2 linked regions of the Drosophila melanogaster genome follow. The protein of the gene in region 2 purifies or fractionates together with the protein of the main gene of each other region. This does not show direct contact. Each region holds a gene or a part of one and is shown on either strand. Other genes may lie near its edges.

What was found.
Region 1: the proteins of SERCA (region 2) and THADA purify together in Drosophila melanogaster (affinity purification with western blotting; one study listed by BioGRID). This does not show direct contact.

Annotation. Positions count from the first base shown.
Region 1 is NC_004354.4:19,863,644-19,867,398, forward strand, and holds the start of THADA (THADA), read right to left. Parts: upstream 1,882-3,755; 5' UTR 1,816-1,881; coding exon 1,707-1,815; intron 1,620-1,706; coding exon 1,442-1,619; coding exon of another isoform or gene 1,437-1,441; intron 1,367-1,436; coding exon 1,085-1,366; intron 1,020-1,084; exon of another isoform or gene 1,016-1,019; coding exon 183-1,015; intron 116-182; coding exon 1-115. UniProt on the Drosophila melanogaster protein: Together with methyltransferase Trm7-32, methylates the 2'-O-ribose of nucleotides at position 32 of the anticodon loop of substrate tRNAs. Plays a key role in energy homeostasis by regulating the balance between energy storage and heat production.
Region 2 is NT_033778.4:23,933,964-23,937,718, reverse strand, and holds the start of SERCA (Sarco/endoplasmic reticulum Ca(2+)-ATPase), read left to right. Parts: upstream 1-1,834; 5' UTR 1,835-1,894; intron 1,895-2,038; exon of another isoform or gene 2,039-2,139; intron 2,140-3,634; exon of another isoform or gene 3,635-3,755. Other genes in the region: CG3735 (uncharacterized protein), read left to right, coding at 1-251. UniProt on the Drosophila melanogaster protein: This magnesium-dependent enzyme catalyzes the hydrolysis of ATP coupled with the transport of calcium.

The DNA of each region.
Region 1 (3,755 bases), on a different chromosome or scaffold from region 2:
TCCTCAATGACCTGGCGGCGCTTCTCCGGCACGCGGATTGCCGCCAAAAGCAGACCGAACCACCGGCTCTGCCACTCGGCGAAGGGTTCCGTCTTGTGGGCCGATACCATCATGGCTAATAAGTATAATAACAAAAGGAATAAGTACACGATTCGAGGCTGCATTCAATGAAGGATACTTGCCTTTGAACAGGGCATCCACACAATCCTCACAGCCCAGATGGCGCGGGAATATGACTCCGAACAGCGAAGGACAGTTCTCGATGGACTTGCTGACTCCGGCCACCGCAACCAGCTGCTCCAGTGCCATGCAACTGGCATTTAGGTATGCAGCACGATCTTCAAACTGGCGATAGACGACTTGGAAGAGCTCCTCCTGGCCGGCGGCCTGGGCGTGCTGCAGCACCTGGTGCAGCAGGGCGCTGCTCATGTGGCGCACGGAGTCCGTGTCACTGGAGATATTCTGCAGGGCGAACACCTGCAGCTGTGCCAAGATCCGTTGGTATAGCAACTTCTGGTCGTCAGGAAGATGGGCGTGCATCTCGCCCAGCGATTTGGAGTAAATGAACAGATGCTTGGAAAGGAAGACAAGCAGATTGGTCACGGTGCTTTTCAGCTCGCTGACGGCCACGATCCTCTTCAGAATAGCCAGTGCTAGTGTAGCGTTTTCTGTATAATCGACGGGCCGCAGGACGAGCAGGGCGGCCATCTGTATGGGAACATCCTGCTCTGCCTTTGGCCTCGAGCAGTCTTCGACATACGCCTTGAATGTTCCGGAAAACCGAGCCAGGTGACCGATCAGCAGGGCGGCAATGGAGCGTACGTCCCACGGAGTGTCGTAGTAGCGAGCCACCTTTTGGGCCACCGCATTCGACGTGCCCGGAAACCGCTGATCCTCGAACAGGCGCAACTTGTCGCTCCACTCGGCCAGCAGACTAACCAAGAACCGCAGCGCATTCTGCACGTACAAGTAGAGCTCGTTGCGACGCGTTGGCGAGAGTTCCAGCGTAGGGTCACTGTCTTAAAGCAAGGTAATTGTGGAGTCAGCATTGTGCGCAGCTATCATATACATTAGATTGACGCACCAAATGTCCGCCCAGTAGCGCTCCAAGGCGGTAGTTAGCAGCGGCGCAAAGCGATGCACCTGTTTGCCCAGGGCCTCCCGTCCAAAGGGAAAGTTCTGCAGGCAGGCGTTGGCGGACACGAAGACATCGTTGGTGCGCTCGTGGCTGACAGGCGGCGTGATCACTGCGAGACTGTTGGCCATTTCGCCGAGCGACTGCTGCAGAGCCTCCAGCAGGTGCTCCTTCGAGTGCCTGCGATGTGGCGACGCATTCTGTTTGGCCAGCGCATTGTCCGAGAAGAGTCTAAATGGGATTGATCATCGGCTATAGGACATCCAGTTGGATCGTGTGGCTTGAGTCGCCGTGGGCTCACCGTACTTGGTCAGCTGGTTGCGCACGGCGTGCTTCAGGGGACTGGCCAGCAGGAGATCCGCCAGGAAGTGGGCTACATCTTCATGATCTTGCGCCTGCTCCCCGTAAAAGACATCCTTGACCACCTGCACCTGCTCCGCACTGCTCTTGGCCGCCGCGAACTGGAGCACAAAGTCATGTGGCGCTGGAAAATGGAGAAGCGATTGGAGCCTCAGCATGCATGTTTATACATAGCTTACTGGTGGTCACTAAGTGACCCACCACAACCCACCGGCAATCCACGTGTTGGGCAGTGGCACAAGGGCGTCGCGCAGCTCGGCAAATCTCTTGGGGTGAGCACACACCTTCAAGGCGGCCACGCGCAGGTTCAGATCGTTCATGGTTCTGTCAGGATTGCGGATAAATAGTAAATATCAGATGGTTTAAATCAGCCACTTTGGTGTTGTCAGTAGAGCTGTGAGCAATTCGATTTCAAAATCGATCTAATCGATATTTTCAGATGGGCGAAGAAATCGATAACATTACTAGGAAATCGATGCTATGTCTATCTATCTTTATAAGGTGACAAATCTAATCTTAAAGTAATATTCCTCAATTAAATTAATCACATTTGTACTGCCCCCTACGTACCAGTGGATTATAAATAATCTATGAAAACATATTGATCTTACAAAATATATTAACATTGCATTTTTTTAGATAACAAAAATTCTAAGCATAAGAGCTGCCTCTTAATTTTTAAGCTGATTAATTGATTTAAGGCCGTTTTTTTCGACTTAATCGATCTTTTTTAGAATCGAAAAGAATCGATTCCCAAGCGGTAATATTGTTTACGACATTAGTTGCCACCTTTACTTATTTACTTACTTTACTTTGTGGAACTAAGTTCCACATCTGGGATGCCAAACACTCACGCTTAGCAAGTACTTGCTCCTCTGCTAACCCAGTGCGCCCATAAATTCTGTGCTGCCACCTTTTCTTCTATCGGAGATACGCGCCGCGACAAGAGTTGCCATCCGCTCTCCTTGCCCGTTACACACAGCACCAACAAAACTTGATACGTATCTATCGATAGTATCGCATGGAAATAGGTCCTAGTTCCACCTCTAATGTGCATTGGGTTATTTATTTTTTTTCCTGTGATTTGTTTATTGAGTGAGCCCTGTACGATGCGATTTTTATGTGCGAATAGTAAATATTTCGGCCCACGGTGCCATCCGATTCAGATGGAAAACACAATTGGTTTCCAATAGGAAAAGTTTGCATCATGTTTTCGTATGCCAAACGCTCGACGTGTGCGTGTGCGTGCGTATGTATTTGTTGGGTGTAAGGTGCATTTGTGTGTGTACGTGAGAGGGGGAGGATTCGTAAAAGTGTTTTTCCTCGTTTTCTCGTAACCTATCTTAAAACAAGCATGTAACATAACTTGCGAAAGCCCGAAAAGCATCTATGAAAATTCGGAGAAATCCACCTGGCTTGGCCGTTTTGCCTGTGTAGTGTGTTTTGTGTGGGAGCGCCAGAGTAAAAGAGAGGGAGTGAGAGTGAGAGGGAGCGAGCGAGAGAGAGGCTTTTTTTTGTTGATACACCGTGAGTGCATGTGTATGTGTGTGTGCGCCTCTTTATTTGTGACGAAATGTGTATAAAATGTTTATGTTTATGTTTTTTCCCGCCCCTCCCGCCACCCACTCACACACGCACACTTCTATGCAAATAGGCGCCGCACAAGTTTGAAGTGAAACGCGATCGGCAAAAACAATAAATCTCACCACAAAGTGGAGCAGCACCCACAAATAAATAAAAACATAAATAAAAGTGCGCCCGCCCGAAAGTAGGAGAACAACAAACGGCTTAGGAAGCATCGCGAAACGTCATTAAAGGTCGGCAGATGGGCGGCCTACGGATTTTCGTGCCCTCCGCTGGCCATTCTCCTCGTGCTTGCTGCTGTTGTTGTTGTTGTTGCGGCTCCCAGAGCAGTTGCAGTTGTTGTAGTTGTTGTTGCTGTTGCACTAGCTGCAGCGGACCAACGGCCACAGCGCAGTGAGAGCGAGCGGGACGGCAAGCGAGCGCCACTGAAGGTGCGAGCGAGAGGTGAGTGACTTTGGCTTTCTAACGGTGGCATCTCCCCCCCCCCCATCAAACGTAACAATAAGAGCGACCGAAAAGGGAAAAGGAAGAGGAAGAGGGAGGAAGACTGGGCTTAGTGGGTGGGAATACAGTAATCACTCGCTTATAGTGATAATATAATTCCGAATTCAATTAACCCGCTACCAGCTAATATCTTTTGTGTGATTTTCTGAATACAGATCTTTTAAAATGTTTT
Region 2 (3,755 bases):
CGCGGATTAAGGGCATCCGGAACTTGATCATGTACCAGCCGCCCAACTTTCCGCACTTCTATTCCGAGATCATCAATCTGATGCTGAAGACAAATCAAAATCCGCGCGATGGATTTGGGGACGAAATGTCCGTCAGTATCCTGTACACAAAGTACGATCTGCTAAGCTTGAGTAACATTGTGGGCAGTGAGAATGCTGCGAAATTGACTTCTGGTCAAAAGGATTCCTACCTTTTCTCCACCAAAACGTAAATGCTTACACGAGAGCTGACTTTGAAATATGTACATATTTAGTTGTCAATTAGAATATACTAAATGTTAACGCAAGTAAATAGTAATGTATGTGATAACTTTCAGTTGTGGCTCTATTTTTGGACCTAAATACTTTCGTGACGTAGAGATTTTAGGAGGAACTGGCTAGGTGATTGATCTGATGTTAAGGGTGGCGATGTCTTCTCTTTGTTATTACGCAATTTGAAATTATGAAAAAATGAATAATTGGCAAATGGTTGTGTAATAAGAGGCAGCATAAGTAGTGTTTTGCCGATTGATGAAATGATTCAAAATGCATTTGAATTCAATATATTTTGCCTGTTTTTACTTTAATATCCCTTTTTTATAAAGGAAGATTGGCCAGAGCATTATGCAATAAAAGTTATCATTTATAAGGCAATTAAGTGTTAAAAAACATTATTTTGCAGTTTGTATTTGTTTTTAAATGATCACTTCGCTTGATTGCTTGAGATTGCTGGAATCTGGAACCATTACCATATACCGAGTTCCTAAATAGACAATATCCAGCGGTTGACAACCGCATCAAACCCAGATTTGCCAGTCCCAAAATAAATCAAAATTCCTGGCTGCATTGTCATTTATCAACATTTTTAAATATACACATAGGTAGCTTATAAAAGTTCTGGCCTAGACATATAGAGGTAAAATAGTAGCCAAATGCATATTTATGGGGGTCTCTGTGAAAAGTCGTAATAGCTGCTGCACAAGGCGGATGGCTGATGGCGGATATCATACGGCAGAAACGTGTGCGGAGAGCGCTCTTGCCAATATCTGAGAGTCCGAGTCCGTAGGGGCATTACAAGCCTATAAATAAAAATAGTCGACGGCTGCCAGTCTCTGCTGAAATTGGGGAAAAAGGCAGAAAAGCCAAACGAAGAACTAGGGGTTCGCAGGCCGACTGGTGGATGCTCTTTCAGCTGTTAATGGATCGAGATCAACTAGATTGAGGAAATGAGTATTTGGGCTGGGATTTGGGATCTGTTGTATTTGCCAAGGACAAGTAAAATATTCAAAGGGCAGCAGCTATGGATAACTATGATGGATTCTAGCTCGGCGAAAGTGGAATGCGTCAGTGCCAGTGCCATCATTCCCAACCATCCCCCCACCAAAGGACCCAAGTCTTGACCCACTTGAAGTGGCTGACACCGAAGGTAGAAACACCTTTGAGTGACAAACCCTTCCACACAACCCAGCATAATTTCCCCAGATTGGTTTAAAAATACCACTTTCTAAATATTAGACAAACACACGTGCATTTCTCGGAATACGTCTGCACTCACACTCCCAGGCACATCCACATCCACAACCACATCCACGTCCACAAGTGATCTCGCATCGCCACATTGCCATTGCTCTAGACTTTCGTGGCCGTGCGCTCCCGCGGATCCGAGATCGGGCGGCCATATGTACGTATGTATGTATGTGGATGGGGAGCTCGTGTGCCCGTGGTATTGTGGTATTCCCACCTATACCTAGCCACATATACGAATCTCTGGGGGACCACGGTGAATCTGCCTCGTCGAGGTACGAACGAGCTGCACGAGCAGATCTGAACCGCCACCATTCGAATTCGGATCGCATTGGATTGGATTGGATAGGTGGTAAGTGCTCAAAAGTTTGTGCGTGCTAAAAGTATTTTCCCGGGCCAAAATAGAGAGTGTATGTAGTTTTGGGAATTTTGCCAAAATATATGAATTTTGTAATTCAAATAGACACTCTCATCGCGCAGCGTTCTCCTTGCGTTCAGTTGCCGTTGATCGTTATAATAGCGCGATCTTTGTGTCTTGGTCTTCCGACTGAAATAAATTATTATATAATAACGGAATTTTTGCTAGGAATAATAATTGTAAGTTTTGTTGATTTTCTGCAACAACTGCAAAGCGAATACGCCAGTGAATTACTCCAAACTGCCAAAACCATTGGGTAAAGCAAATAAACCCCCCTAAAAACTATCGAAAATTCGTCCGCGCGCTTTCAAAAGAAAAGAAAACCTGGAAACCAAAAGTTATTGAAATGCCTACATATCTACATACGAACATGCTTCTTACACTCGAAAACCGTGCTTCAAACTCAAAGTGTTTGCCCCCAGTTTACTTTGCCACCCTGGAGCTCGTCCAGAGCTCGTAGTTCGATCTATCTACATACATGAAATATCCGTAAGGGCGACGATTCGGCGGTGACCTCGACCTCCGGATGGTATCGAAAATTTGAATGTCACCAATACGAGAGCACTCCACGAATAGATTCGATCCGACACAGATGTAAAGTTTTCCAAGTGCCCGAGATCTATGTATCTGTGATTGAAAATCTGGTTATGCAACCACAACCGCAACCGTGGCGAATATATTCGTACCCAAATTCGAAAGATCCATGTCTTGTACTGTACCTGTAGCCCTTGTAACAAGCATAGAACACACGATCTCTTGAACTCCTTAACTACCCGCATTCATAGCTTAATGGTGGTTACATCGGTTAGTGAATTTGACTGCCTTTCAGTTGCAAAAGATCCCTGAAACCAACAGACAGTTTTACAGAAACGTGTAGCTCTATAAGTACATTCAGCCCAGGATCATGGCCCAATCATTTGTACTTATTTTTGAACCCACCCACCCACTATTATACAACCCATCGGTGGACTTGTCAATCAGAAATTCGGATTCGGGGACGTGGGAAGCAGCATATCGCACAAGTGTCGACATCCATTAGCATGGAGATATCTCTGCTCGCAATATCATAAGCCGTTAAATCGTACATATAACCGCGCAGAATAGGAATCTTTCTCCCTACGATCGTCTCTCTGTATATGTACTCAAACTTATTTATGTGGTCCTAGTACATATCTTTATATCTACGAGTGTTCAGAATTGAGCTGTATTTTTCGGGTGCTAGGACTCTATTTTTAGCCCATCTCGGACAGAGGCGATTTTTTGCTCCATAATGCACACACACATGTGTATTTTAGGGGTATATATAGGCTATATGCATGAAGATGTTTTCGAAACACACGTCTCTGTGCTCAAAATATAAGTAGTATTCGAGCGCATTGATTGACAGTTTTTTGAAAACTAACGCCTTTTGTGGGCGGGCAACTGGTGGAAACCTCGTTATCAGAAGTTACGTATGTAATTCTGTGACGTAGCCAGCGTAATATTCAAGTATTATGCGAGTTGGCTGCCGTTCAAAATTCCCCGTATGGCCTGATTCTAGTGTCTGGTCGCGAAAAAGATTAAAATTAAAATTTAAAAATGTCGCTGCTGGCGAATACCTGGCACCCAGATCTATTTATTGCGGGCTCTTGATCTCGATCTCATTAATTTGAGCACAAAATGCGCGAAAAGAATAGTGTTGCTTGTTGTGTGGCCAAAATAGTGCGGATGTCTCTGTCGCTTGCCAAGTGAAAATATGACAATGTATAAATAAGTTTAAGCATTCGTGATAAGGATTTCAGTTCGATTTACACCA